Linked DNA regions of Tamandua tetradactyla. The protein of the gene in region 1 interacts with the protein of each later gene in a pairwise test. Links are inferred from orthologs where the notes say so. Each region holds a gene or a part of one and is shown on either strand. Other genes may lie near its edges.

Region 1 (7,691 bases):
TAGGTTTTTTACTTTAGCTCACTTTTTTTTTATTAAAAAAAATTAACAAAACATTTAGAAATCATTCCATTCTACATGTACAATCAGTAATTCTTAATATCATCACATAGTTGCATATTCATCATTTCTTAGTACATTTGCATCGATTTAGAAAAAGAAATAAAAAGACAACCGAATAAGAATTGAAACGATAATAGAGAGAAAAAAAAACCTATACCTCACGTGCAGTTTAGCTCACTTTTTAATGTAGGCATTTAAGGCAAAAATTTCCCTCTGAGGCCTACTTTCAGTGCATTCCATAAGTTTTGATATGTTGTGTTCTCATTTTCATTCACTTCGAGATATTTACTGATATTTCTTGTAGTGTACTCTTTGACACACTGATTGTTTAAGAGTGTGTTGTTTACCTTCCATGTATTTGTGATTTTCCAGTTCTCTACCTGTTATTGATTTCTAGCTTTACGCCATTGTGGGCAAGGGGAGATGCTTTGTGTAATTTTGGTCTTTTAAAATTTTGTGATCCAGCATATGGTCTCTCCTGAAGAATGATCCATGAGTACTTGAGAAGAATGTATATCCTGCTGTTTGGGATTGCAGTGTTCTATATATGTTTGGTCTAGTTCATGTATCACGTTATTCAAGTTCTCAATCTCCTTACTGATTATCTGACTAGATATTCTATGTATGGGTGAGAGCTGTGTGCTCAGTTCTACAACTTTTATCGTGAGATGTCTATTTCTCCCTTCACTTTGCCAGCTTTTGTCTGTACTTTGGAGAACCATGGCTCCGTGCATAAATATTAATGATTTTTATTTCTTCTTGGTGAATTGCCTTTTTCATTAATATGTAGTGTTGTCTCTTTTAACATTTTCACATTATTAGTCTGATATTAGTATAGCTACCCCAGGTCTTTTTTGGTTAGTCTTTGTCTGGCTAACTTTTCCAACCTTTCACTCTCAACCTATGAGTCTTTGGATCTAAGTTGTGTCTCTTGTAGGCAGCATTTAGTTGGTCATAATTTTTTATCCCTGTTGCCAATCTCTGTTGATTGGGGAGTTTAATCTGTTGTCATTTAATTCTATTACTGTAAAGGTAGTATACTTCCAGCATTTTATCTTTTGGTTTTCATATGTTGTATCTTATTTTTGTCTCTTTTTTTCAACCTTCTAGTTATCCTTACTGATAATTTTCATTTATACGCTCTCCTCCACACATCTCACCCCTGTCTTTTCTTTTCACCCTGCAGAACTCCTTTAATTTCCTGTAGGGAAGGTCTCTCATTGATGATATTCTCTCAGTTCTGTGTATCTGAATATTTTACACTTGCCCTCATTTTTGAAGGACAGTTTTACCAGATAAAGAATTCTTGGCTGGTAGTTTTTCCTCTTTTTATATTTTAAATGTATCATTCCACTGCCTTCTTTTCTACATGGTTTCTGATGAGAAATCAAAACTTAGTCTTATTTGGTTCCCTTATATGTGGTGGATCATTTTTTTTCTTGCTTCTTTCAGGATCTTTGATATTTGGCATTCTGATTAGTGTGTCCCAGAATAAGTCTATTAGGATTATTTTGTTTGGTGTACATTACGCTTCTTGGATATGTATATTTATGTCTTTCATAAGAGTTGGTGATTATTTCCTCAAATATTCTTTCTGCCTCTTTTCTCTGCTCTTCTCCTTCTTGGATGCCTATGACACATGTGTTTGTGCACTTTGTGCTGTCATTCAAATCCTTGAGATCCTACTTGTTTTTATGATTTTCATTATTTGTTCTTCTGTCTGTATAGTTTTGGTTGTTCTGCCTACCAGTTCACTGATTCTTTCTTATTATTCATATCTGCTTTTGTGTGCCACTAGTATATTTCTGATTTCTTCTATGATGCCTTTCATTCACATAATTTCTATTTTGGTCCTTTTTGTACTTTCAGATTCTTCTCTATGCTCATCTAGTGTCTTAATATCCTTGATCTCTTTTACTATAATTTCCTTAACCTTCTTTAGTTGATTTAGATTTGTTTGAGCATCTTTGATTAGTTGTTCCAAATTCTGTGTCTCCTCCAAAGTTTTAATTTGTTCCTTTGATTGGGCCGTATCTTTCTGTTTCTTGGTAAGGCTTGTAACTTATTGGTAATGTCTGGGCTACTGATTATCTTAATGACTTTACTCCAAAGATCAGTTTCACACTCTTGCCTAGGATTTTATTGTTGATTGTTCTTTTTGTTAAAGCTCTTCTTTCACACTTAGTTCAACTTATTCTAGACCTTTAGAATTGCCCATGTTCAACTGATCATATTATTTCAACTCTTCTTCATTTGATTCTTGCCCTGAATTTGCAGTACAGTTTTTAAGATTGCACTATGTGTGCAATTGTTTCACCTCCAGAAAAGAAAGGAGAAAGCTTCTTTTCCTGGGAATCCTGTTTCTTCTGTGGCGTTCTTGATCTTCTCCTTTAGTTTTTGTTTAGCCTCTATGGTGTGTTTTTTACACTGCTTTTGCTGCCTCTTGTTGCATTTGCCTGGAGGGTACATTCTGGGGAGGAGGGTCACAAGAAAGGGGACTTTCCCAAGTTAGTTTTCTGAGCCAAAACGGGGCCCCAGCCCCACGAAGGAAGTGCAGACCTGGTCCAGAGAACTCTGTGGGCATGGTTAGGGAGGACACCAAAAGCTTTTTTGACAAGTCCCGTAAGTTGCACTTTCCTGGTCTGCCCAGCAGATGGCACCATTCAGCAAACTGTTCCCCGCAGCCCTATATAAATACTGTATCTTTTTTTTGGACATGGGCAGGCTCTGGGAATCGAACCCAGGTCTCTGGAATAGCAGGTGAGAATTTTGCCACTGAGCCACCGTTGCACCACCCTTAGTACTGGGTCTTTAAACCTCCACCACTTATGCCCATGACGATGGCAGAATTGAAACAATGACCATTGCCATCCTTGTCCATAGTGGGCTAAAACAGCAGTTCTGAGCCAAAACCCAGTAATACAAATTTTCCAAGCAACAGTTGTGATCAGAGTTTGGCCATGTACCCTCCCCCACCTCCCCAACACACATACACTATTCTTTGGGACAAGGACTTCCACATCCCTCTCTGTCTACAACAGCCAAACAGGGACCGGACCTCATATGGTCGCCTTTGACGGGTGTTGTCAGCTGCCGTGGAATGAGCTACGCATGGTTCTTTTACCACATTTTCTCAGCCCCTTTCTCCCGCTCTTCCCTGGATGCTGAACAGTGCTCCTCTGGCCTCCAAAGCCCCAGAACAGTTGTTTTAGACAGTAGCTGTTTTAAGGAAGTAGTGAGTCCTGGAGTTCCCTGCTCTCATTTTTGTGCCCAGTTTTTAATTGGGTTGTTTGTCTTTTTGTGTTGCGTTGTAAACAACAAAGTTCTTTATATGTTTTGTATATTAAACTTTTATCTGATATATGATTTGAAATTATTTTCTTCTATTCCAGAGGTTGTCTTTTCGTATGTTCATGTACTCTAAATAAAGTTATAAGTGGTATCAAAGAATTCTTGATAAAGAGTTGAGAGGATGGAAAGACTGCCTCTAGAAGAGGGAAAGGATTAGAAGATGGTGTTTGAATGATCCAAAGGGATAGCTTTGATTTGAATTTTTGGAACAGGGTAGAGAGGCTATTCAGTAAAATAGACAAGAAAAGCCAAAACATAAAGAAAGGTAATTGTGTGTCCTGGAAACAAAAGAAGAGTTCATTTTGAGTGGGGTAAAGCATGTATGAAGAGGAGTAGTGCCATGTAAGTTAAATTGAGATCTGATTGTGGAGGCCTGGAAATACCAGAATTAGGAATTGGATTTTTCCTTCTGTAAACATAGGATTAAAGTGTCTGAGCAGGAAAGTAACAAAGTTAGGTAATTCGCATATAGTGGTAGCAGCTTTATGACTTCCAAATTAGAATTTGAATAGTCAAGAACACATTTTCCCACAGAAACACATTAATATGTCCCTTAGATTTTCAAACCAAGTTACAAAAGCTATTTAAACAGATTTGGGTAAAAAGAAGTCCCTCCTGTTCAGTTATAAAGCCAAGTATATTTTAAGGAACTTGAGATAATACAAGTAAGGACCATCTCTTCAACTTCAGAGTGCTGAAAAGCAGTCTGTTTTAGCCATAACAGTTGTTAAATAAACATTTGTGGAAGCTGACTACTACTATATTATCATTTATGAAAAAAAATGTATTCATTCAGTAAATGTATTGAGTGCTTGACCCACCCTCTGCCAGGCATCATTCCAGTTGATGGAGTTTAAAGATGGTTTAAGATAAAAATCTAATTGGAGGCAACAGACATGTTAACAGATAATATAGTGCAATGGGAATACAGAAGTGCTTCCTGGGATAATTAGTTCCATGGTAACAGAGTAATGACATATAAATTGTATCTTGATGAATGAGTAGAAAAATTCCAAGTAGAAGGGCATTCCAAGGCAGAGATAGAAGATGTAGCATGTAAGAGGTTCCAGTTTGTAACGTGAGGTGTGTTCAGGAAATATGGAAAAGAGGTAGAATGTGTATATACTTGTTTTGGGAATAGGGAGTGATGGTTCATAACAAGACATTGAAACCATAGCGGTAGTTTGTTGGAAAGTTTCAGAAGGCCATATAGGCCATTCTTAAGGGGGCTGACATGACTTTTTTCTTTTCTTTTCTCCAGATAATTTTCCTGATAGTATGAAGAATGACCTTAAGTGGAGAGAGATTGTTAACTGGGGAAATAAAAGGACTTGGGTAGTTTGGCATACTTCTTGCTATTTGGTAGGTGTTCTAGAATTGTCTCTTGATTGATTACTCTAGGCAGAGGAAATCTTGACTTGATTCAATGGGGATAGAGAAGAGAGGGAATTTAAGTGATATATTGGAGGTAGAACTGAAAGAATTTGATGACTGAGGAGTTGAATTTATTCCATATTTTTGAATTTTAGAAAGTAGATGGTTGGTGATTCACTACAAAGAAGACTGGGAAGAAATGATCAGAGCTAGAAGATTACACTAGGGGAGAATTACAAAAAGGGAAGATTATATTTTCCAAAATGGCTACAGCAAGATCTTCCATACCACAATGTGATGTTGACACTTCCCAAAGAGAGGCAAAGTTCATGTTCCCTTCTTGAACGTTATCCTGTACATTTCCATTCTACCTTTGAATCCTATTTTGCCTAGCTTGAGGCAAAGCATTTTTTATAGTACTCTAAAAAAATATTCAATAAACATAATTCATTTATTTATTCAAGTAAAACCGCAAAGATTTCCAGAAAAAGCAGATCAGGTGGAATTAGAAAAAAAATCAAACATGGTAAAATTCATTTAGTTCCAGCGTCACAATTTGCCTCAGCTCATAGTTGGTTTATATTACAGTCTTGGATTTATAGCACCATGTTATGTCTGTTCTTTTTTTGGGAGGGTGGGGGTGGTGACCCTTTTTGTCTTGATTTTTATACATGGATCTTGGCTGATTTTCAAGATGCTCTGTAGAGGATTTGGCCCTGGCCCCACTCGCCAGTAATTTGCTTTATTGTACATCTGCTGTGTGCTCATCAGTGCTCTGTTCACCACAGGTGAAAAGCAAGAGAGGCGTGAGACAGATCCTGCCCTTGCTTTCAATTTAAGTGTGAAGAGAAAAGCAAACCTTACAAAAATGGTTATAAAACAAATGACAACTGGTAATAGTTTGCTCTGTGTAGGGATATGACTTTTTACAACTCAAAGGGATGTAAGAGTGGAGAAATAAGTGGAGATAATGTGGAGAAGAAACTACCTTCAAGGAAGAAATGGAAATTGAGCCAGGCTTTGAATAATGGTATAGTGGTGTTTGAATTGTGAGGGGAGAAAGGGGTGGGTTACCTGTCCACAGGAAGCAGTAGTAGCGTGGATTTGAAGAGAAGAATGAAATATGATGATAGGAATATGGTGTTCATTCTGGGGTTTAGAGAAATTTGAGCAGGTAGAGCAAGATAAGGACCTTAAAGGGTAGGCAGAGGAGTGTGAACTTGAGAGTATAGGAATCACAAAAGGAAATGTCTGTCTAAAGATTTTTAAAGATTTGTTTTGCAGTGCACTAAAATTAAGGAATACACGTTACAGGTAGAACTTGAACCCTTGGGTTAGTTGGTTTAATAGGATATAGAAATACCTCTCTGAAATACTTTTTTTTAAAGTCAGGATGAAGATGAATGTACTGGTTTCTTTGAATTTGTGTGTGGTTCTTACACATTTTATTAGATCTATTCTAGAAAAAGGTGCTATAAGAAAATAAAAAATTTAGTTGGATTCTTTTTCAAGAAACTGTTAAATTAGGGCTTTAGGTTCTTGTCCAAAGGTTTGGTGTCATTATTTTTTATGGAAATGATCACAGACACACCATGTTTCATCTTACAATTGGTAGCATTTATAAATAATGATACCAGTTTAACAGCAACACAGTTACCAGTATTGAATTTAATATCATTTTATATTAGTCTACAGGGCATAGTTCTTCAATTTTTGTTTTTGTTTTGTTAATTTTTGTGTTTAATTACTGTATTAAAATAAGATGAACATTTACCTTTGTCACTTGCAAAATTCAGAAATTTTTTTGGGCAGATGTTTACAGATATCTTTGAGAGACCTTTTTGGAGGCCTTGGTCAGTTAAAGGTTTTAGGATGTATTAATTTTTTTTTATAATTGTAAATGTCTTTGAAACAGCCTTAGTTATTAGAGAGCAAGGTATTGCGTTTATTAGTTTTTATAAGCAGAAAGTTTTTTTTTTAATCTCCATCCCATTAGGAGCAGTAAGACGTTTATCTTTAAAACCTCGTAATAGATAGTGTTATTGACTCTGAAGATAAAACCTCAGACACTTGTTTTCTAATTCTCCTCTTCTCTCACTGGTCGCTTCTACTTTGTCTCTTTTTTGGATCCTTTTTCCTTTTCTTGTCCAAATGCTGTCGTGTCCTTTTCCCTCCTAGATGATTTCATTTAGACCTGAGGTTTTAAATAACCACCTACCTATATGTTGATGACTCTAAAATTATATCTAGCTCCAGTTTCTTCCTGATAGCACAAACTTGTTTTTCCAACTATAGTCTCTGTCTTTTCATTTTGTATCTAATAGACATCTCCAATATAATATTCAGAGCATAGCTATTGTTTCCCCAGTTTCTCATCCATCTCCTTTCTCAGTCTTCCCCACCACCTTTCAGGCCTCAAACCTCTGTTCTGGCCTCAGGTCTTTACAAGTCCATAACTCAGTTTTTTCTTTTTTCTCCCTATATCCAGTCCATCAGCAATTCCTATTAGTACATCCTTCAAAATACCATGAATCTGATTATTTCTCAGCACTCCGTCCACTGCCACCTTTGTGTGAGGCACTAACGTTTCTTGACTGGATTACTACAGAGTCATAGTTTGGATATTCTGGGAAGCAAATTCTGAAGCAGAGTTTAGTGTGTAGAATGTTTATTGAAAATACCCTTGAGAGCCACATCTGTGAAGTTGCAGGGTAAGGAAGCAACACTGGGCAAAAGGAGAAGTAGAACTACAATGCTGACCCTAAAGGTTGAATGCTATAGGGAGATTTGGAGCTAAAATGGCCTGTTAGAGTCATCCTTCTTAATCAGTCATTAGCTATGAGTCACTCTGGGAAAGGTATGACATTGGGTAAGGTGGTTTTCTGCAGCTGAGGGGATCCCTGGAG
Region 2 (7,849 bases), on another chromosome or scaffold:
GCTGGGGGCATTTGGTGACGTGATACGTTAAACAGCCTTAGAAGCTTCTTGGCAGGGAATGAGAGCTCAGCGTTCATTCTCGTGCTCTCCTTCAGAGGCCAACCGCATTGCCCCCGGCCCTGATGTCCCCTCACCGATGGTGGCTCGGATGAGCGAGGAGGCATCGCCAATGTTGTTGAGACACTCTTGTTTGATGAAGTCTGCCACGGGCGGCGGGAAGCTCTGGTAATGTGCCTTCACGTTGTTCTTAAGGATAAGGCCACTGAGAGAGCGGGTCGGTTCATCTGTGGGGAGAGGGCTGAGGCTTAGGGGACCACCGGGACAAAGTGGGGGGCAGCTGCAGGGAGGTCACAGAATGCGTACCTTCTGACTTTAGTCTGGTCAGGACGAAGATCAGGTAGTTGTTGAAGTCAGGAAACTGGTTGAGTTGTTTGAGTTTCTGCCAGGCTGTTAAGGGATGTGGGAGACGGGGCCACCCCAGGCAGGGTGCCTCACTGTCACCCTCGTATAGATGACAGCACCTCTAGGACCCCACTCTGGTCCCAGAATAAGACAGAACATCTCAGCGGGGAGAGGGGGTTTTGGGGAGGGAGCACATGCCTGAGCTTCCTAGCCTGACTTTTTGAAAAAAAGAGTACAAATTTTCAAGTGAAACCTGCTTATATTTTAAACGTTGACAACTAATTGGAGAAAAAACATTTAACCATAAAGCCTAAATAAAATATGATTGCCAGCTGGAGGTTCCCCCACCAACTTACCCACCCATTTCCCCCCTAAGCTCTGACTTGTCAGTTAAAAGCTTGCACTCAGGCATCACACAGGTCTGGCCTTGCCAGCTGGGCTCCACTAATTACTGACTGGGGCAACTCATACTGCCTAAGCCTCAATTTCCTCAGCTGTAAAATGGGGAGAATAACAGTACCTCCTTGAATCTAGTGCTTCAGGAACATTAGGTGTCTCTAATATTTTCCATAGCAATCCCTCCAGCTCTGGGAAGGGGATCCGGGATTCTAATCACTTATTCAAGGTTGGGGCCTCACCACAGCAGTCTCAGGATTCGACCCTGGCCCCTCCCACCTTTGGGGGCTGCTGGTGCAGGGTTTCCCGAGCGCCCGGAAGGAAAGAAGGATACATCCTGTACAATGCGCTGCGTGGCTGTATTGGGTGACTGTGAGTCTTTGAGCAGCTGCAGGACCTGCTGCAGACCCTGCTCGTCAGGCTGCCAGTCCATGATGCAAGGCGGGCTGTGGGGATGGGGCCGGGGTCAACGCTGGGTCCCAGGGACTCCATCTCAGACTTGGGCTGAGCCCGGGGGGTGGCGGCAGCAGGACAAACGCACCCTCCGTGGACAGGCGGGGGCCGCTGATCCACACCCGCCCGAGCGCAGGTTCCCTGCCAGCTGCGCCATCCTTGGCCGCGCAATTATGGGCTCGGAAGTGCTGGCTGGGGTATGTGGAAGCAGGCCACGGGTGGTGGAGGGGCCGGCGGACCTTCCTCCCGCAAAGCATGGAGAAACCCTTGTCCCACAGTGCCCAATGCCGCCGCCTCTAGCTACGGACACTAAGGCTTCCGCCTCCCTTGCAGTCACTGCATGAGGGCTCTGGCACCTCCAAGTCCAGGAATCTCTCTCCAGACCGCGATAGCTCCCAGTCCCCATGGTCTCCCCAAGACAGGAAGAGTCCGCGAAGATTTCCCTCTTCCTCCTCCTTCCAAAATCTGGCCCTCAAACTCCACCAGATCCCAGCCACCCCTGAGCAGACCGGCCCCTGGTCCTTTCCCAGGCGCACAGTCCCAAGGCAATCCGATCCTCCCGCTCCCTGCCACCTCCCTTAACCTAGCCTTCCAAGCTCAGCCAAATACCAGATGACCCCCAAATCAGGCCCGAAGCATGGGTCACCGAGGCTGCTCCCGATGAGAGCCAGCCAAGCTCGTCTACCCGGCGACACAAGCCCCTGGGACGGGTCCCTGTCGCCTTTCCCAATCAGATCCTGCCAAGCCTCCCCTTGCCCTCCCTCCTCCTCCTCCAAGTCAGCAGTAACTCGCAGTGACCCACCTCCGCTGCTTCCCCCAATCAAGTTCGCCCAAGCCCCTCCACCATATCTAGCCAAAAACCCCCTTCTGTCCGATCCCTGCAGCTTCCCTCCTTGTCCCCCCCACCCCCACCCCGCCCAGTAAGGCCTGGCCGAACATGTCCTGAAGCATCCCCCGCCCCCAATGGACTCCAGAGAAGCCCCGCTGGGGGACCCAGCAAAGCCCTAAAGGCCGAAATCAGCCGCCCCTCCCCATCAGGACCCAACAAGCCCCCACCCCACAGCTTTTCCATGCGGCCTCCCCAATCAGACCCAGCCATGCCACACCGAAACAGTCCCCCCCGCCACACACACACACCCGATCCTAGCGACGTGTCCCAATCAGGCCCTAAGCAGACCCCAGTCGCTTCCCCCAATCAGATCCCCTCCAGGTCGACGCAGCAGCCCCACTGGCCCGATTCTCGCGGCACCCTGACCCGGCCCGGTTCCGAGGCCCCACCCCCCTCAGCCCGGCTCGACTACCCCCTCCCCCGCCCCGGCCCGTTCTCGCTGCCTCGCGGATCCGGCCCAACCAGGTCCCGGCCTTCCCGGGTCGGGCGCGGCCCCGATACTCGGGCCGCGCGCGGCGCAGGCCCGGAGCCCTGTGGGGGTCGGCGCAGGCCCGGGCTGAGCCCAGTCGGGCTCCGGGTGAGGCCCACTTACCGGGCCCCGGGCGGCGGCGGCGCCTCGCGCTGAGGCTTCTCCTGAGACTCGCGCGGAAGAAGGGAGCCAAAGAGAGAATAAGGAAAAGAAAAAAAAAGAGAGAACGCGGGCGCGAGTGAGCAGCTGCGGCTTCCGTACGCCGTTCAAACTGGCCCAACAGAACCAATCGTAAGGCGCTGCTGTCACACGTGGCCTGACACCGAGAGAGGCCCGGGCCCCGCCACGGCTAGGTCACGTGAGGAAAGAGTTGGCGCCTCTCTGGCCGGAGGGTCCTCCCGAGTCTCGTTTCCTCAGCCTCTCCCCCACCCCCGTCACCGGCCTGACTGCAGCTCTTTACTGAAAGACAGGAGTTTGGTGGCGCGTGGGACGTTCGGTGTGAGGCAGTCTCGTGAACCGCTCGGCCAGATCCCTTGGCCAGATGTGCCCTGGTCACCCTCCCCTCTAAGAATGTGAACCGTACCTCCCTCTCCCATCCAGAGGGCACTTGAAAGGACTAAGCCTGGGGTGGACTTTGTACCCCAGAGACAAAGGAAAGAAAGCAAGACAAAAGGATTGCCTGTATTTACCGAAGACTCTGCCACTTTTTGCGTTATTTTCCTGGACTGTTTGGCAGTTTTACGAGAACATGAAAAAGCCACAGAGACAAGCTTTTAAATAAATTTAAAGACCCAATAAAATAAACCCCGGAGCGGATGGGCCTAATCTATCCCCTACAATGGGTTAGATGGAGCCCACGAAACTGAGGCTAGGGCAGGATAGTGAACAGTCTGGGAAGAGTAAGGCATTTTTTGTCTCTCTAAAGCGTCCGGCTTTCCCCTTTCGCCTTGCCACTCGGAGGGTGGGTGACCTCCTGCCACTCGAAGCCTCAGTTTCCCCACTTGTGAAACGGAACTAATTAGAGTTTGCTCAGAGATAATCCAAGTTAAGCATTACCAAGCCTACTGTTGTAAATTGTTCTTAGAAAACGTGATCAAGGCCTTCCTTTCAAAGGATTCAGCCCCCTCCCTAAATATTGACTGGAATCACTCAGGGCTCTAATCTGAAAGGCAATCCCGCCCTGCCTGTTCTGAGGGATTCTGGGGACCTCCTGAGAGGAGATGGAGGAGGGCAGCCCCCTTCCCGTTGGCAAAGTCAGCCCTGGCTCCGTTCACTCAAGAAAAACACACATAAGACCTCTCTGGACCGAGCCCTGGGACCTCAGACTCGGAAAGGGTCACCTGGCATCTAACTCCAACCCGAGACTCGCGAAGTCTCACTAAAGGAGAAAGAGGGATTCCCCTCGTAGTCCAACCAGCTGCACAGAAACTGGCTGTGAGAGACACGTGCGGAAAGCCGCCGTTTACGCACGCGCAAAGTTCCTCCCCTTGGCCTGGAACTACAAATCCCGTCATGCCTCGCGCCCAGACCGCGGAGCTTCGGAGTTTTGGCTGTGACCCAAACGTGGGCGGGCTGGGTGTGGAGCGCAAGGCTGCGATTGGGGGCTGGGGCTATGTTTGGGGGTTCCTGGACGCGGGGTGACCAATAGGAGCTCTCTGGTCAGAGTTGAGGAGGTGGCCCAGGTAGGGAGATGAGGGAGAGAAGTTGTTTAGACTCAGCACCACCCTCTTTGTAGGTCAAGTTGCCTGCTCCCTTGCTCAAGCTTTGGGGGCGAGCAGGAGTCGGGGCAGAACAGTGGCCCCTGCTGCCCACGTGGTTCACATTTCTGGCGCTCGCGTGGTCACGGAAGTCTTCTTTCGTCCTCTCCCCCGGAGATGCATTTGAGTGCTGAATCGGGACAAGTCGTTTTCCTATCTTAGACACCTAGCGCGCGCGTCAGGCAGTTTTATGCAATTCTCAGGACGGCCATGTGCCCGGCAAACATTTGGATTCAACTAGAAGCGATTAATGCAAAGAGAAACTCAAGGAGGTGGTGCGGGACCGTGAATCTGAGATGAGAGACAAACGCGCTCTCAGTTTACAAGGGCCTCTCTGTGCGCCTTGAAAGGGCAGCATTTTTCAAACAGAGCCCTAAACGAGCCAGCTGCTTCACCTAACGAAGCAAAGAGCCGTTTTAAGCTGTGTCAAAGTTCAAGTTGACGGTGTGAATATTGCCCTTACTTTAGAATTTGACTCTAGAGATGAGTCTGTATTTTTACCCCTATTTAGTGGAAGAATCTGAAATGCAAGATGGCACAACAAGCATCAGAATAGAGTTTGAAACCAGCCCTGTTTGATTCACAGAAACCTGAATTTGATCCTCCTGCCTTTCAGACTTTTTCCCAGGTCATTGCTGGTGGGTCCAGGGAAGGGAGGTGCCTGAACTTCACTAGTTCCTCCTGCCACCTAACACTTAAGAATAGAGGCTGAGCCTCTGCAGGGGCGACCTACTTCTCCCGCTTGTATTCCTCTGAGTTTCTTTTTAAAGATTCAGCAATGCTGGTGGCTTTGAATGAGGAAGAGGTGGGGTGTTCCCTTGGCATCATTGTCTCTCCACACACACATTCTGTCCCCAAGGCCAAAGTCACACCTGGGCCAGCCCAGCACCCCCAAATTAGGAGGAAGAGATTTTTTAGTTGATATGGAAAAACCAACCACATAAGCATTATTGTGCATTAGCGTGAAGGGAGAGGGAGCAGGTAGCCTGGTCCAAAGCCTGCTGGCCATTGCTTTGACAAGCCAGGTGTAGTTTCACCTTGAGGTCTTTGCACCTTCTGTTCCTTTTGTCTGCACACTCTTCTATACATGTTCTCTCAACTGTCCCACCTCTTTTGAACTGGGAACAAACTTCACCTCAGGGAAGCCATCCCTGATCAACTTAAGATTGCCATCTCTCACACCCTCATCTTGGCCCCCTTTTTATGTTTTTTTCTTAATGTACGACCATCCCATGTGCTCTGCATTTCATTTATTGTGTTTCTTCTGTTTCCCCTAACTAGAATGTCAGCTCCATGAGGACAGAGGCTTTTTGTCTGTTTTGGTGACTGCTTCATCTCCAAATACAGTAGATACTCAATATTTAAGTGAATTTTCTCTCTCTCTCTCTCTCTCTCACACACACACACACGCTCCTCCTGACATGATCTCACCATCTTTATGCCAGGAGGGAACCACCCTCAGCCCTCTCTGAGGACCAGAGCTATCTGCCCTTCCATTCTCTGCCTCCATGGGCCAGTGAGGAACAGTCCTCTCTCACTTGACAGTAGAAACCCAGTACAGGGGTGGGAAGGAGTGTCAAGGCTGCTCAGTGTTCCTGCCTGGTGGTCCCCTGGCCAAGGGCCCAGATGTCACTCCAGGATTTGTGGATTTGAGATGGGGCCGGAGAGTAAAGGTTTCAGTGGGAGCATGTTTAGGCATTTGTGGGCTTGGTGGAGGTAAAGATTCAGGATGGGCAGGTGGGGCCAGAGAAATGCAAGGAACACCAGAGGGTACTAGGGAAGTCAAAGTTCCTTTAAGATATCCCATCCCTTGACATGTCATATTCTGCAAAGTGGGACAAACGTGTCCCTTTGTCCTAATTCTCTTGAGCATATATACCTCTGGGCTGAGCAGACCACAGGCTCCCTAGGAGGAGGTCCAAGGAGTTGGGAGGACTGAGGGCCCTTTTCCTGTATTTTGCAGTGTGGAACAGCTTCTCTGGATTCAGGATCCCAGACCTCCTTCCCTGCTCCTCTGCCAACACTCCAGCTTCAGGCACTGTAGCCTCCTGTGTCCTGTTCCAAGTCCCCCCCATACCCCTTCAGTGAGCCTCACTCCCTGTGCTGGTCACACTGGCCTCCTCAAAGACCCCCATAAGGGCAAGTCCTCTCTCACCTCAGTCTTTGCCCGGCTGTCCCTCTACCTGAGCAGTTGCCACTCAAATGCTCTCCCCTTTGTGGAGGCAAGGAGCGCGCCCTGTTCTGCTCACTGCAGTGGCCCAGGGTTTGGAACAGGGCTGCGCATAACAGGCGCTCAATGAGCGTCTGCTGAGAACACTTTAACAGCTTGGCTCAGTCAAAATGGAAGTGGAAAGAAACGGAAGCTAAATAGCTACAGTGAGGGGACGGTCAGGGGTGGGGAGAAGGGGGTTAATAAACCCTGCGAAGTATCCAAGTCGGCAAGAAGGATTCTGTCCCTGAGCATCCAGTCCCCTCAAATGGCCAGACCAGGCTTTGGTGGGTGTGCTTGCTGGTGGGGGGAAGGTGTACATTAGAGAGCAAAGAAAGCCGACCACGCATACGACTCCAGCACTAAATCAAGTTCTTTACTTCCCAGAAGTGATGACTAAGGGGAAGGAAAGGAGGGTGGGAGAAGAGGAAGACAGAGAGAGCCAGAGAGAGTGGGGCAGCGGGAAGAGGGTGGACAGTAAACCACTGTTCTATGAAGTCTCAGGAGGCAAGTGCTCAAGGTAAAAAAGAGTCCTGGAGAATCGTCCGCGGCTGCAGGAAAACATCTCGGTGTCCTTCTGTGTATAAGTCCTCGGGGGGAAGGCTGCTGCCGCTGCTGCCACATTAAATAGTATGTACATCGCAAAGAGTCCAAGGCCATGGGCAGGTGGGGGGAGGGGTCATTTCACCAGGGGCCGAGTCTTATCGTCGTCACCACACTGGTGGGCTTTGTACTTTTTCACCTCTGCCATGTACTTGGCCCACGCGTCACCTTTACTTGTTAATACCTGGGACGGAGGAGGAAGAGGAGCAAAGGGGTGGGGGGGTGGGATGTCAGGGAGGCTCTGATCTGAGGTCAAGACTATCCAGAGGCAGCTACCCACCCCGAGTGCTGCCCTTCCAGAAGGGCCTAGGTGTGAGGGAAAAGACAGGCAGGGTCAAGATATCTGGGGATTCTGTGTAAGGCCCTTCTTCCCCACCAGCACCACTCTGGGAGGGACTGGGCTCAGGAGAAAGACAGGGTAGGCGCCCCCGCACACCAACACCTGCTCACCTCGTCTTCCGTCTTCTGCTTCTTGGCTACTATTCCCGTCTTGAGGGCTAGTTTGTTCCCGCCTCTGCGCTTGCCCACCTGGGTGAAGGGACAGAAGACTGCAACGGTTACGGGAGCCGGGGCCCGCCCGTGGCGGTGCTGAGGCCCACTACACCTTCCTAGCCTGGCCTGGCGGCCCGTCCTGACGCCGCGCCCAGCTCCGCCAGCCGGCCAACCTGCGC
Region 3 (7,552 bases), on another chromosome or scaffold:
CCTACTGTGTTGGGGAGGCCCTCTTCCCAGTGTGGGTCCCTGTGAAACTCATGGAATCATTCCACAAACATTTATTGGGCACCCAGCCCAAGTTCTACCCCCATCACTTCTCCCTGTCTCTGAACTCTGGATGTCATAGATTTAATCAACATCTGGATATTTTACTTAGCCATTACTAAATGCTACCCAAAGACTACACTTCCCCATGGTTTGGACTCCCTCTATTTCTCTCTCCCTGCTCTCTGCTCTGGCCCAGACTCTATCTCAGTACTTCTGTTTGTCTCTACTCTTCTGCAGACATTTCCTTCAGACCTACTCTGTGCCCAGCCTTATGCATTTCTCTCTCCCTCAACACATCCATCTCTCCACTTCTCTGGCTACACCTATTCAACTCTCCCTGTCTCTGTCTATGGAACTCGGTTTCTCTTTGCCTCTCCTTATTTCTCTTATCTTTCTCATCTCTTTCAGCCAGTCTTTCTTTCTCTCTCCCTTTGCATGTATATCTGTCTTTCCCTCTCTCTGTTTTAGTTTCCCTCTCAACCTCTCCCATCCCCAAGCTTCCCTTTCTCTTTGGGACACTTCTCCTCTGGGCACATGTCTGCAAAGTGCCTCTCATGATCTGTCTCTCTACCAGGCTCTCTCACTCTTTGTGCTTCTTTCACTCTCTCTTTTCTCTCACTCTCTTTGTCTTTCCCTTTCCAGGAGTCCTTCTCTCCTTGACCAAAGGTATCTGCTAATCATGGTCTCCTCCTTCTCACTCTCTGTCTTGTCTGCCATCTCAGTGTCTCCTTGTTCCTACTGCTGAGTCTCTGAGTGACTCCGAACATTCTCTCTTCTCTCTCCTTGGGAGGCCAACCCACCCAGAGCCCACCTACCGAAACCGCTCCTGGCCAGCCGTATCCCAAATCTGTAGCTTCACTGTCTTCCCGCCCACGTTGACTACCCGGGATCCAAACTCCACGCCGATCGTGTGGTTGGAGTCCTGTTTGACTAGGAGTCAAAAGGAAAGAGGGGACAGTGCAGGGGCTGCAAGGATCCCCAACCTTCCAAGGCTTCCTCAGCCTCCTCAAACTTATCTTTCTTACTGGGGGGAGTGAGGTTCAAGGAGGACCTAGCAAAGAACACATATCAAGGAAAGGACCAGGATTTGCCCCCAGCTACCGACCTGCCCACACCATGCCCATGCCCATAGCTTGGTGCTCCCAGGGCCACTACTAGAAACTTACACTTATTCTCAATGAACTGATGAAGGAGACATGATTTGCCAGTTCCTGCACTGCCGATCACCAGGAATTTGAAGAGGAAGTCTGGGCAAATGGAGCCAGAGATGGGGATGACCACAGGGAGAAAAGAGTAAAGAGAAAAACACAGAAACCAAGAGATGGACACAGTTTTAGGGAGAGAAACACATACAGGGGAAACCACAGCAAAAGACAACAATAGTAACAGATGACATTGTGCTTATGATGCATCTGGCACTGTTCTACAGTTCTTTATTTATATCAACAGCTCACTTAATGCTCCAGAAAACTCTATAAGGGAGGTATACTATATTATCCTTATTTTCCAGATGAGGAAACTGAAACCAGAGGTTAAGTGACTTGCTCAATGTAGCACAGCTGGGAAGTAGCAGAGTTGAAATTCAAACCCAGGCCAACTGGCTCCATAGGCCAAGATCTTAACTATTACAGTGTTGAAGCCTCTTGGAAGGCCATTTTATCAAGAACTACAAAGCTCTATCAGATCTGGCCCTGTCCTTCTCAAATTCATCTCCTACATCTCTGACTCACTCACTCCACCTTAGCCTTCACTCTGTTTCCTGAAAATTACTAGTTTTTTTACTAGTTTAATGAGTCTGGTCTCATTAAACTAGTAAAATTACTGCACTCTGTTTCCTGAAAAGGTGCTAGTTACCACCTCGGGGGCTTTGCACTTGACACTGCCTTTTTCTATTTGTTGAATGAATGCAGCCCCCTCTGATTTTTAAACCAGGACTCTTTACTGCAACTTCCCCACACACTCACTTCTCTTACTGTACATATATCCTGATTTTTCCAATTCCAGAATTCCTTCTTGTGCTCTTCTACTCAAGCTTAAACCCCACCCCTAACTCAGGGACAACCCATCCCTATTTCCACTCCAGACCTCTCAAGCCAAATCAGCCCCAGGATCCAGAACATCCCTCAGGCTCCCCTCAATCTTCCCTCCATCTCATTAAGCCCTTCTCCTGCCATTCACACAGTCCCGCCGATCCCTTCCACTCAAGCCCCGCCCCGATATATTAAGGCCCACCCCTTCCCTCAAGGCCTATCCTGAATCCACCAAGACCTTCTCCCTCAAATCCCGCCCCACATCTATTTAACCCATACACCAGCCCCTCAGGCTCCGCCCAAATCGGTTAAACTTAGACCCAGACTCATTAAACCCCTCCCCGTATCCACTAAGCCCAGCCCCATAACACCAAACCCCGCCCCCTGGTATATCAAGCCCCGCCCCATTTCCACAGGCCGCATCCTCTGAGGGTCCAGACCCCAGACCCCAGACCCCAGCTAAGGCCAACCACCCTCACCGTAGGTCTCGGCCATGACTCGGTCACGGCCGCTTAGGGTCGCAATATGGCGCCGCGGCCGCGCCTGCTCCTCGCTGGCAGCCGCTCCACTCCGGCTGCAGCCCCGGCTCCTTCCTACTCCCCGGGCCGGTGCCGCCACTTCCGCCTCCACTCCCCTCCGGCGCGACCCACTAGGGCTGCGGGATACCGGGCCACGCTTCCCGAAGGGAGGGATTGGTGGACTCGGCAGGCAGGGGGCGGGACAAAAGATGCGGATTGGTGGTGTGAGAGGGCCTTAGAAGAAAAGGGCGGGACCAACACGAGCGATTGGCGGAGCAAGAGAGAGGATCGGCGCAGGGATGCTTCACGGAGCAGAGGAACGGATTTGGTCAGGAGTCTTGGGAGAATCGAGATTCCGGATTGGGTAAGGGAGGACTTGGGGGCGGGGATGCGAATGCAAAGAAGGGGGCAGGGACAGGATTGACAGGGTCTGGAAAAGGAACTGATCTTCCGCTAGCGGGTACAATTTCTGACCTCAAATGCGTAAAGGATGAAAAGTAAGGAGATTGGCGCAGATTACCGCCCACCTCTCTTTGCGGATAACCTTCCTTCCAAGAAAACCTCTGCGATTTATGCCCTCCTCATGGTCTAATTGGCTCATTCCCAATAGTTCAGCTCCCTCCCATTGGTCTAGAGAGGACACTACATTCTCCCAGTTGGGCCGTTTAGATCATTCTTCTTATTTACTGGTGGCCGACGTCTAACTTTAGGAACCCGCCGCAGGTACTCAGTTCAGAGCAAAGAGCGTGTCATCAAAGAAAATCTGCCTAGCAACCACTGACATTGCCTCATTCAGTGGGTTGATTGGCCAGATTCAGAAACCTTTCCTTTTTCCATCCCCATCCCACCCCAAAGACCACAGAAATCAGCAATTTGCACTTTGATGTATTCGCATAAAACAGGAGAGGCAAGACAGCAGACGGCGGTAGGCTGAGCTCACTGGCAGTAGAAATCCCATTTCTGAAAAAGAAGAAAGGGGAAACACGCACAGAAAAAACCGAGAGGTCGCACCACAAAGGATCTAGTGGTTTCAGCCAAGCTGTAAACATAAAGGAGCAGATTTGGCCCCGCAAGGGTCATTCATATCAGCCCAGAACCCTTTCATCTTTGTACCTCCCAAATGGAACGGGGCTTAGAATCACTTAGAATTTTATTGGTGAGAAAATGGGTGCAAGGAAAGAGTTTGTCCCAGCATTAGGCCATGGGAGAGCTAAGGATAAAAGTATCTTTGCCAAGCCATCCCAACCCAAGGGTCCTCCCACCTGTTCTCCTCCTCCACGCCCCTCAGGACACTCACATCTGTCTTCACATCGATTTTGCCAGGTTTTAGGGTCTGGTCCTCTCGTACAATGCTACTGGGGAAATAGCCCAGGCGGGCAGCCAGGTCTCCATAGTAATCTCCCTGAACCTGGGGAACAGTAGTTAAAAGCTGGGTCTGGGAAGATGACTCACTCCTTCCGCTGAAGGCCGTTGGACTCTGTCTCCTCACCCTGGTCTCCACGTGGCTGGCTCCATCCTAGTCATTCAAATCTCTCAGCTTAAATGTCACCTGCTCAGAGGCCTTCCCTGACCACCTGATATAAAGTGGTCACCCAGTCACTATATTAATTCTCAAAGTAGCACATACTTGCTGATATTTTTGTTGACTCACTTGTTGTCTCTACCCACTAGAATAAAAGGGATCATTCACTATTGTATTTTCAATGTCTAGAACATAACCTAGCACCAGAGTAAGTGCCCCATAATTGCTAAACAAAGTAAAAACAAAGTAGGTCCTGATATCCACCCCCCCAAATTTTTCATCTATTTCCGTTCCCTCCCTTAAATTTTCCCTTTAGGTGGAAAATTGGGGTCCACCGCATCCCAGCCCCCTACCCCTCGCTTTTTGGGGAGACAAGACTCACACTGCCTCCCCAGAAGAGCCTCCCTCGGTCCTTCAGCTTAGAGAAGACATACACCACTTGGCCCCTGTGTATGGTTAGGAAACGGCAGTCGGGGGCCACGTAGTCCTGAAGGGCCACAGCCACGGAGATGGGGTCTAGAGAAGGAAAAGAAGGGACTGACAGGACCCACACACACCAGCTGGCATCCCAGGCTCCCAAGTGCCCCATCCTCATACTTACGGCTGCATTCCTCATCAGCACACAGCTTTCGGTCAGCTAGCTTTGGCATCGGGCGGCCTGCGACACTTGGCCCTGGGAAGGCAAACAGCAAGACAATGACACTGAGGAACACTGAAGACAAAGCCATCGTGGACTGAGCAAGAGACCTGGGGGGCATGGGGTCTCCAATTTCTCCCACGTTCCCTCTCTCCAGCAGCACAAGGAAACCAGTGTTCTCTGTCTTGTCCCCGCCCTAAACCGGTCCCAAATTTTGCCCACACCAGCTAGAAGCTGCTACCCAGCCAGAACCATTTCAAGGACAGGGTGAGACGTGCCAGCCCATGAAATACCAGACAGGCTCAAAGCAGCCCAGACCACTCCAAGTGGCAACCACCCCCTCACGAATCAGGGAAGTCCAGGCAGGCAAGTTGAGATATTCAATTCCATCTTCTCTTGGGCCTGCTTAGGTACCTGAGCCCCTCTGCTTTCCCCTCCAGGGACAGAACCAGAGGAGCCAGCAGAGAAAACCACCTTGGAATTTCCTGTGCTGAGGGGCGAGAACAGGCAGCCCTTTGATTGCCAGTCACAGCCTCAGCTCTCAAGTACTGAGAGAATACTGTTCATTGGCTGTAGGCTAGTCAGTGTCCTCCCATGATTGCTGTTAATCTACCAGTTAATAGCTAATAGTTACTGAGCAATCACCATGTATATATTTTTAAAAGTGTTTTAATTTATTGGCTCAAATTTATGCTCTCACTTTGGGACTTTTATAACCCCATCTTAAAAGGAAATGAAAGCACAGAGGGATTAAGAAAGTTGTTTGAGGTTACAGAGCTAGGAAGGGGAAGGACTAGGTTTGTCTCCAGGCCCATACCATTCACTATGCCACCCTACCTCATAGGACTCTTATGAGGATTAAATACCCAATTCAGAGGGAACACAGAGGACAAAGGAATATCCAACATCACAAGGATGCAATCAGCAAAATCTAGACTATAAGACAACCTGGTTTCTTCAACTAATAAACTGAAGGGAAAAAATTTAGAGATATTGAAGGCTGGCCTTTATTAAAAACAACTGAATGGACATGTTTACCTGTCACGAAGTGTGAACCTTATTTGGATCCTGACTCAAAGTGTATACAATCTTGGGTATTAAAATACTGGAATTTTGAACAGATTAGATATTTAATGATGTTAAAAATTGGTTCTTTTTAGGTATGATCATGGTATCGTGATTATATCTTTATTTCTTAGGCATATACCTAAATTATTTACTGATACTAAAATATAGGATGTCTGGGATTTGTTTCAAAATAGTCCACAAAGGAGAGAAAGTGGGAAGGGGCTTGGATGAAACATAATATGGATGAAACATAACAGGTAAAGCTGGTAGAGGGAATATGGGAATTTAGTAGGTTATTTTGTCTTCTTTTGTGTGTTTAAATTTTAACATTAAAAAAAAATTATTCCTTGATTCAATATTTATTGAGTACATCATATGCTGGGCCCTGATCTAGGCACTGAAGATTCATCAAGGAATGAAAACCAAGGCAAACAATTATATCATAAGACAACAAGGATGTAGATGAGATTGTTTATGAATTATTAAGAGGGGTACTTAGAAATGAGAACATGGTATTAATCAGCCATGGAGATCACAGTCCCCATATTACTGATGAAGAAACTAAGAGGGGGAAGAAATTACTTCATTTGCCAAAACCCAATATATTTGTTATCTATTGCTGCAAAACTAGTTACACTGTTTAAACTTAGTAGTTTAAAGCAACTAGGCTTTATTAACAGTGTTTCTACGGGTCAGGAATCTAGGCATGGCTTAGTTGAGCCTCTAGCACAAGGTCTCCCACGAGGCTGCAGTTTCATCTGAAGGATAAACTGGAGGAGGATCTGCACTCGAGTGGCTATATATAGGCAGGATTCAGTTCCTGTAGAAACTGGACCAAGACTCTGCTTTTCAATGGCCATCCACTTAAGGCTCTTCCTCAGTTCCCTGCCACATGCATCTCTCCAGTTAGCTCACAATATGGCAGCTGGCTTTCCTCAGAGAAAGCAAGATGGAGGCCAATTTTTGGAATCTAATCTCAAAAGCAACATTCCATCATTTCTGCTGTATTCATTTGAAGCAACTTGCAAGTGCTGGGAACATTGGGTATCATCTTGGAAGCTGCCTACAACACCCAAACTTCGTATCATTACCCATGAAGCCTCTATGCATTGGCCATGCTGACCTCCCCAGTCCACTTTATCTTACTCCAGCCACGAGGGCCATTTGGGTAGTATGATTCTACTTAACAAACCATGAATGGCACCCCCAGAGTTATGGAAAACAGTGCTCAACAAGTTTCACTTCTTTCTAGTACTCAACACTTCAACTCACTTCTACCTCAGGGCCTTTGCACCTCCCCCAGATCTTCACATGGCGGATTGCTTTGTATAACTTGATGTTCAGCTCAAACGTCACTTTCTCAGCTTGGTTCTTTACAGATCACCCTCTGCAAAACTGCCTCCTTGATTGGAATTTCCATACAGCTGAAGAAACTGAGGCTCAGAAGAGTATAGTCACTTGCCCAAGGTTAGAATGATAAAGTGGCAGGATTCAAACTCACTTCTCAGCTCCAAGCCGTGCTTCAGATCCAAGCTGAGGATCATTCTCCACAGCACCTGTCTCTTCCAGGAATTCCCACCTCTGAGCTGAGGCTTCATTAGTAGTGAAGGCTGAGTCTAAACCATCACTACACACCCAGTACCAAGTAGAAAACAGAAAACAACCCTACTCCAACATCCCCTCCTCAGAGGGGCTTTCCTTGATGGCCCATTACTGT
Region 4 (6,990 bases), on another chromosome or scaffold:
GGGATGTATGAAATTTTTCTTTTTTCTTTTTATTTATTTTCCTGGAATGATGCAAATGTTCTAAAAATGATCCTGGTGATGAATACACAACTATGTGATCATATTGTCAGCCCTTGATTGTATACCATGTATGGACTGTATATGTATGAATATTTCTCAATAAAAAATATTTTAAAAAAAGAATGTCAACTAAGACACACAAAAAGAAGTCACTGGTTAGCCATAGAGAAAAAATAAAAGAATGCTATGATGTAGTATTAGTGTTATGACAAACCAAAACCAAATCAGACCAAAGTTATGAAAGGGCTGAAATCGAGTACATAGAAGAGTAGAAGAAGGTATTTGGTTTTAAAAAATAGAGTCAGAGAGAAGCTGACTTGTATCAAGTCTCCATGGCATCCAGGACAGGGAGAATATAGCCTGGTCCCACAGCTGCTTTGATCCCTGGCATTTCCCACTTACAGTTCACATCCATATCAATCATTCATTCTTTCTAGCAAATTCTTATAGAGTATGACCACTCTAGACACTGTGCTAAGTCCTGGGAAATACAACAGCAAAAAGATCAGTCTTATCCCATATGGAGCTTATAGTCTACCAGGGAAGAGAGATTATTAAATGAACGTTTTTACAAACTAATTCATTACAAAAGTGTAACAAATGCTACAAAAGGAGAAGTTCAGGACACTGTAAGGGAGTTTGGTAGGTGTGCCCACCCTAATCTAAGGGGTAAGGAAAAGACTAATCTAAAGAAGTAGTATTCTTAGAGTAAATTCTCTCTTGCTTGAGGACATGGATCTCTCTATTCAAGCAGCCAGGGGGTCTTAATGAGAAAAGCTGACAGTTTCCTACAGTCAAAAACGACAATCAAAACCAACTTAAATCATTTTGAGAGCATGATACAGAGATACAGGTAGAGTGCTATAGAGGTACCTGGCATGGGCTCCAGCCCAGAGAAGGAGACCCTCCCCCCCCGAGGGTCTTTCGTTTAGGGATTGCTACTGCTAGGAAATAAGCTATTTTATCCATAAAACTTTAACTCAGAACTGTACAAAATCCCCCTCTCCCTTGATTTTCCTTAGCTAGCCAAGAGAGGATGAGATTTCAAAAACCACAGTGCTAAAACACTAAGCATTAGTAAGAAGGAACTTACAGGGAGAAAAAAAAAATCATGAAAGATGTTTTCTAAAGAATATAGTTTTGTTTTCTGATCTCAAAATGAGAACTGATGCTCCTAATACCCATCAGGAGGACGCGCACCCCTTGGCACCTGGATCCCTGATCAGCCAAGTTTAAGAGAGAGGGCCCTCCCAACCTGGTCTAGATTCTCTTTAGAGAAGCAGCCGTACCAGGAAGGTTTGGCAGGACGGTGACCAGGCATGACGCAGTGAAAGGTGTCACCCTGATTGGTCGGAAAGGCCCCATTTATGTTGAATTCCTAACCCAACCAGAGCCAATTCATCAAGATTTTGCAGCAAGAGTCTTTCATGGTACCTCTCAAATTACAATCAAACAATTCAGTCTCTGTCTTATTGCATGACCTTTCACGCTTAACAAAGGGCTTCAGCACATTGACCAGATACCCATATTCTAAGGTAGCACTATCCGATAGGGTGACCACCAATCACACGTGGCTACTGAGTACTTGAAATATGGCTTGTATGAACTGATTGTGTTGTAAGTGTGAACTACATATCAGGTTTTGAAAACTTAATACAAAAAGGTGAAATGTCTCATTTTTACTATTTCGTATGGATAATATGTCAAAATGTTATCTTAGATATAATAATAAAATATATTATTAATGATAGTTTCACCTGTTTCTTTTTACTCATTTTAATGTGGTTACTAGAATATTTAAAATCACAAGTGGCTCATATTATATTTCTATTGAACAGCACTGCTCTAGAATGACCTTGATTCTAAGCACTAAATCTCCTCTTTCCGAATTATTTTCTCAACTAGAATAAGTATTGAAGCGTCTACAAAAAATTCCTTAAACCTTCTTCCATTTATAGAAGTGGCTCAGTATTATCAGAAAAACATCCTGTGTTTCAGCCTAGTAACTAAAAACATGACTATCAGATAATTTTACCTCTTTAGGTCTGAGTTTCTTTACAGAAAATGAAGAGTTTGAACTGGTTCCCCTCTATGGTTTCTTCCAATTCTATGATTATTTGATTATTATGATGTTAAAATTTTTCTAAAATATTTCTATAAATAGGATTTTACTTAGCTTTTATTATAATGCATATAAATGTTTGAACCAACTTTTGAAAATAATATAAAATAAATATTTGCTTTTTTGATGCAAAGACAGAATTTCATTTTAATCATTCTATACTATTTCCAGTGGATACATGTTAGTTTATTTAAACATGCATATGTTAAAGTAGCATGCTTGTTTTCTATATTGCTATTATAAAATTTTCCACAACACTATTTTTGTTAATAAAGGTTTTTCAGTTTTCAAGATTCGATTCATTCAATTCATTATGATTATTATTTATTTGGTCCCTTAGATTTTCTTCCACAGATCATCCTGTTTCCATCAATCATTTATGCCTCCTATACTCTCTTTTGAGTATTTCTGGTTATATTTTATATCTTATCACACTGTTGTATCCTTTAATTCTCTTTCAGGACTGGGCTCCCTTGCATCATTCACCAGCTCCTTTTAGGTACCTGTTCATCCTGATCACACTCTTTCCCTCCTGTAGATTCAGGGCCTTCCCCCTGTGCTCATCCCTTTTCAAAACAGCTCACCTGAAAGGATCTATTAACAGGAATATATCAGGGTGAATTCAAATCATCGCAAACACTCCTTACTGGAGAAGGGGCAGGTCTTTGCATTTTTAGCCTTAATGCTCATCTTGAAATGAAAGTCTTAATCTTATTTGAATTGAACGGAAAACTCCTATTCTTTTTTTTCCATTTTCCTAAAATCTATCAGAGTATGTGTCCTCTCACATACTTATGTCTTACAAGCCCAGACATAGGCATTCTTTCTTGTGAAATTATGGCTTTAAATACCTCTTCAGGTACCTATGCAAAATCCTGACTGCTATACTTAGGGCTTTTAGGCAGAATTTGAAGAGCTCTGGATTTGGAGTAAGATGCCCTACACTCATATCTTAGCTGTACTTGAATTAGATGTATCATCTTGGAGATCTCGAACCTGGAGTTGCTATTAATAATCGTTGCTACACTCAGCTTCACAAACAAGAATTTCTGAGCATCTAAAGAAATACTGAATGTGAAAGTACTTACCAATGGTAAAGAGCTATACAAGCTTGAGTTACCTTGGGTATCCTGGAACTTACTTACATTTTTTTCCAAGTTCTTTTTCCCTTTCTAAAGTCAGGAAACCTACATCAAAGCATTCAGTGTAAAGAGGAAGGACCAACATGGCCAAGGCTTTCAGAATAATGGAAAATTTCAAGTTATGATGAAATGATCACTCTCTTCATTCAATAATATGAATAGCTCTATGAAACACCTATTATAACTAATAACCTGTGTTACTTTATACAATTCATCTAAGAGACTCAATTTGTCAAGAAATAGCAAATGGTTTCATGAAATTTAAATGGAACCTGGATGGAGGGATGAGTCTATATTAAGTTGATAGCCATATTAAAGTAGCAAATTAATGTTAATGTTATGAAGAGGAGTACAAATAAAAGATTTTAAGAATTAGAAGCTAATCAACTCGATGTATTAGGAAGGAATTCTGTTCCTAAAATAGATGCAAGAATATTTTCAAACACAAAATTCAAGTGCTTAAAAATAATTCCCTCAAGAAAGCAATATAATTTATAAAAATATGACCTATAATATATAATAAACATATAGCCCTTCCCGACATTCTGTGAAATCAGGGCGGTAGGACAGGGCTGCTGTCATCAATTATTCCTGGAATTTGGTGGAGAAAAGAAAAGAATTTGGAATCAGCCACCCCGGGTTCCGTTCTAGTTCCCTCACTTGAGAATTATTTCTTCATACCTAAAAGGAAGACAATACTATCGGCTCTGCCTAAATTACAGACCCAGTTGTATGGGAAAGACAGGCACAAATGCTGCTGTTAGGGCGACAGAAGTGGCGGTGGACTGAGCTGTGCATTTAAAGAAATCCAGCCCTTCCCAGCTGGAAGACACTGGCGAATAGAAAGGAAAAGTACCCAGTTTATTTTTCATCCTGTTTCAAACTTGGGGAGAAGAGGCTGGGAACCGGGGGGGTGGTGAAGTCACCTGAATATGGAACCCCCAGCCATTTACCCTTTGTTCCTTCATTATTTCATTCCTTCAGTCATTCGACAAACCTTTATGGGGCCTGTGTTGGGCGTCGGGTAGCGGGCTAGGCACTGGAGCCACAGGCAGGAAGGGACCCAGCCTGTATCGGGGAGCCCTCTGACTAGTGAGCAGGCACCACACGCCTAACTGCGGGACAGCCAGGCCGCGCTCGCTTGGGGTGAAGAGGCTGCTGGCCGGGCCGTCCCGCCGCCACCTCCAGCGAGTCAGCCGGCGCCGCAGCGCCCCGCCGCCCCTGCCCTCTACCGCGGCGGCGGCGAGTTCGGCCCGCGTCCCCATGACAACCAGGAGGCGCGGCAGGCGGAGCGGGAGAGGCCGCGCGGCTGGCGGGCCGGGGCGGCGGGAGCGCGCGGCGGGCGCAGGGCCCCTCGGGCGGGCGGGAGGGCTCCCCGCGTTCCTGCTCCCGGGGCCTCAGACCTCCCGGGCAGGCGCGGCCGGCGCGGCGCGGCACAGACAGGTAACAGGGCCCCGGGCCTCCCCTGCCCACCTCACCCCGGTCCCTCTCGCGTCGGCCGGGCTGGCACCCGCAATCCTAGAGGCAGGGGTTACCCCAGGAGGCTGGGGGAGACTGTGCACGCGGCGGGTGGGAAAGAGCCCGGGATGCAAGGACTTTGAAGTGTAGGTTCTAATTGTGTGGCCTTAGGCAAGTCACTTAATTTGTGCCTCCGTTTCCCTGACGTGAAAGTGAGGGATTTGAGAACTGACGAAACTGTTTATTCATCCGTTCTTGCTGCTCAAGTTTTCATTCACCGCCCCTGCTTTTCGCCCCTCCTCTTCACCCACAACTGTAGGATCTCCCTTAAATTCCTCTGATTTGGGTGGCATGAATCCCGGGATCTTCCTCCTCCTCTTTCTACAACCATAAATGCGCTTTCATTGACTTTTATTCAGTAATTCGGAGTTGAATTCTTTTTCAATACTTTGTCCATTTATCTTCATATACTAATTATAAAATAAAACTGTTGCTGGGGGAAATACTATCTTGTGTTAGGCAAGTACATAAGCTCATTTTGTCAAGAGAGTGAGCCAGTGCCCATAGAACCATTAAGGAACTGTAAGATTTGTATTTTTAGAAAGTTCTTCAGGCTTCTGTCCTTAACTCTTGGTATGTTTATGTTAACAGACCCCAGAAATGGCCAGAGAAAGAATTTACTCAAATAAAGGCATGCCATTTAGGGGATTCACAGGAAAGGAAAGTTTGAGAAAATCTAGCTGGAATTCCTTTGAGTAAGAATTCCAGTTTACTCATCCCCATGTACTGAGCACTCTGCAAAGCACCTGGTATCTAGCTGTTGTCCAACAAATAGGGAACGAATGCCAATTTCAGTCAGTACCACATATTTCAACTCATCACTAAGCCTATGTCATAAATACAAAGGAGCACTCCTCCCTCCCCCCCCAAATAAGCCCGTTTCTTCATTTTGTAGAACCAAGAGTTACTACTATCTCAGAGAAACTAACATTAAATAGTTTGCTAAAAGCAAAATTTTTATGTTTTATACATTCATAATTGTAAGCATTTTAGGAATCTAGATCATTTTTCTCTCCAGCAGATTAAAAATTAAGAACCATAAACCAGATGCAACAGCTTCTTGACATGGAGAACAAGGCTCCTAATACTACGGGGTAAGTGCTGCAAATCTGTTTAATAAGTTGGTATTTTACTTTGTCAAAAATCATGGACTATGCATGAGTTTTGAAATTTCATATTAATAGAAAGATGTGCCAATTATTTTTGGTGAAGAGGGTGGGGGGAATTTCAAGAGACTGTAATTAAGAATCTATGGCATGAATCTTTTTTTGCATGGGTAGGCACCAGGAATCAAACTCAGGTCTCTGGCATGGCAGTCGAGAACTCTGCCTGGTGAGCCACAGTGGCCTGCCCAGCATGAGTCTTTTGAATTTTGACTCTGTATATTGTACACCAGAGGTGTCCAAAGACGATCGCCATTTTCCAACTTTCAGTGACTTTGTCCAGTGGCTTCATGGGATAGATGCACACACCCAGGGGAACCAACCTTGCAGCCTTTGTGCAGTCTTGGATTCTCACACTGCAACAGCTCATGGCCAGCTTATTCCTTTCTTGCATTCTCGCTTCCTCCATTCTTGCCCTTCAGGCTGAACTCAGCACTTCACCACAAGTTCCAGAATAAATACAACTCTACGAAACAGCAATAAGAGCTGGGTATTTTATCAAAAGTTTCATGGGGAGGTAAGGAATAGAGTTTGCAATTTGTATAGCATTCTATATCCTAGAAATTCAATCAAAATCCTTTTCAGAAATATCTATCCCCATCCTCTTCCTGCCACCAGCACTACAAAGGTTCCTCTTCCTGCTGTTTCACTGGCAGGATTACCATAGTTCCTACTCTTGACTGTGACTGACCTGGTTGTGGTCAAACCACTCCAGGTGTCTCACCGTCAGTTTTTCTACTCAAACCATGGCCTTGACATCAGGAAGAAGTAAAACTAAAAAAGTCCGGATAAAAATAGCTATCGCTTTTTTAACTCCTACTTCATAATCCTCCATACAACAGCCCTGCTAAATATTATTCTCATTTTACAACTAAGAAAACTGAGTATATTAATTAGTATATAGTCTAAAGTCTTGTAACAAAGAGACCTGAAAATAATACAATGGCTTAATAAGAATGAAGTTTGTTTCTGACTCATATAATAA

The links.
Region 2: the proteins of EXOC5 (region 1) and TNPO2 interact in binary tests that used the Homo sapiens proteins (3 or more experiments, as listed by UniProt). The two-hybrid records come from large-scale screens. The link is inferred for Tamandua tetradactyla from reciprocal best matches to the Homo sapiens genes EXOC5 and TNPO2.
Region 3: the proteins of EXOC5 (region 1) and RAB4B interact in binary tests that used the Homo sapiens proteins (3 or more experiments, as listed by UniProt). The two-hybrid records come from large-scale screens. The link is inferred for Tamandua tetradactyla from reciprocal best matches to the Homo sapiens genes EXOC5 and RAB4B.
Region 4: the proteins of EXOC5 (region 1) and DEUP1 interact in binary tests that used the Homo sapiens proteins (3 or more experiments, as listed by UniProt). The two-hybrid records come from large-scale screens. The link is inferred for Tamandua tetradactyla from reciprocal best matches to the Homo sapiens genes EXOC5 and DEUP1.

What each region holds. Positions count from the first base shown.
Region 1 is NC_135338.1:8,508,721-8,516,411, forward strand, and holds the start of EXOC5 (exocyst complex component 5), read left to right. Parts: upstream 1-4,674; 5' UTR 4,675-4,689; coding exon 4,690-4,773; intron 4,774-7,691. UniProt on the Homo sapiens protein: Component of the exocyst complex involved in the docking of exocytic vesicles with fusion sites on the plasma membrane.
Region 2 is NC_135337.1:89,880,384-89,888,232, reverse strand, and holds the start of TNPO2 (transportin-2), read right to left. Parts: upstream 3,007-7,849; 5' UTR 2,733-3,006; intron 1,245-2,732; 5' UTR 1,232-1,244; coding exon 1,133-1,231; intron 440-1,132; coding exon 364-439; intron 285-363; coding exon 135-284; intron 1-134. Other genes in the region: TRIR (telomerase RNA component interacting RNase), read right to left, coding at 7,255-7,362, 7,629-7,706. UniProt on the Homo sapiens protein: Probably functions in nuclear protein import as nuclear transport receptor. Serves as receptor for nuclear localization signals (NLS) in cargo substrates.
Region 3 is NC_135342.1:23,355,253-23,362,804, forward strand, and holds the start of RAB4B (ras-related protein Rab-4B), read right to left. Parts: upstream 3,020-7,552; 5' UTR 2,586-3,019; coding exon 2,570-2,585; intron 1,308-2,569; coding exon 1,227-1,307; intron 991-1,226; coding exon 876-990; intron 1-875. Other genes in the region: MIA (melanoma-derived growth regulatory protein), read right to left, coding at 3,545-3,568, 3,906-4,016, 4,513-4,646, 4,732-4,888. UniProt on the Homo sapiens protein: The small GTPases Rab are key regulators of intracellular membrane trafficking, from the formation of transport vesicles to their fusion with membranes.
Region 4 is NC_135334.1:49,843,349-49,850,338, reverse strand, and holds the start of DEUP1 (deuterosome assembly protein 1), read left to right. Parts: upstream 1-3,989; 5' UTR 3,990-4,176; intron 4,177-4,670; exon of another isoform or gene 4,671-4,767; intron 4,768-5,821; exon of another isoform or gene 5,822-5,863; 5' UTR 5,864-5,889; coding exon 5,890-5,936; exon of another isoform or gene 5,937-6,471; intron 6,472-6,990. UniProt on the Homo sapiens protein: Key structural component of the deuterosome, a structure that promotes de novo centriole amplification in multiciliated cells.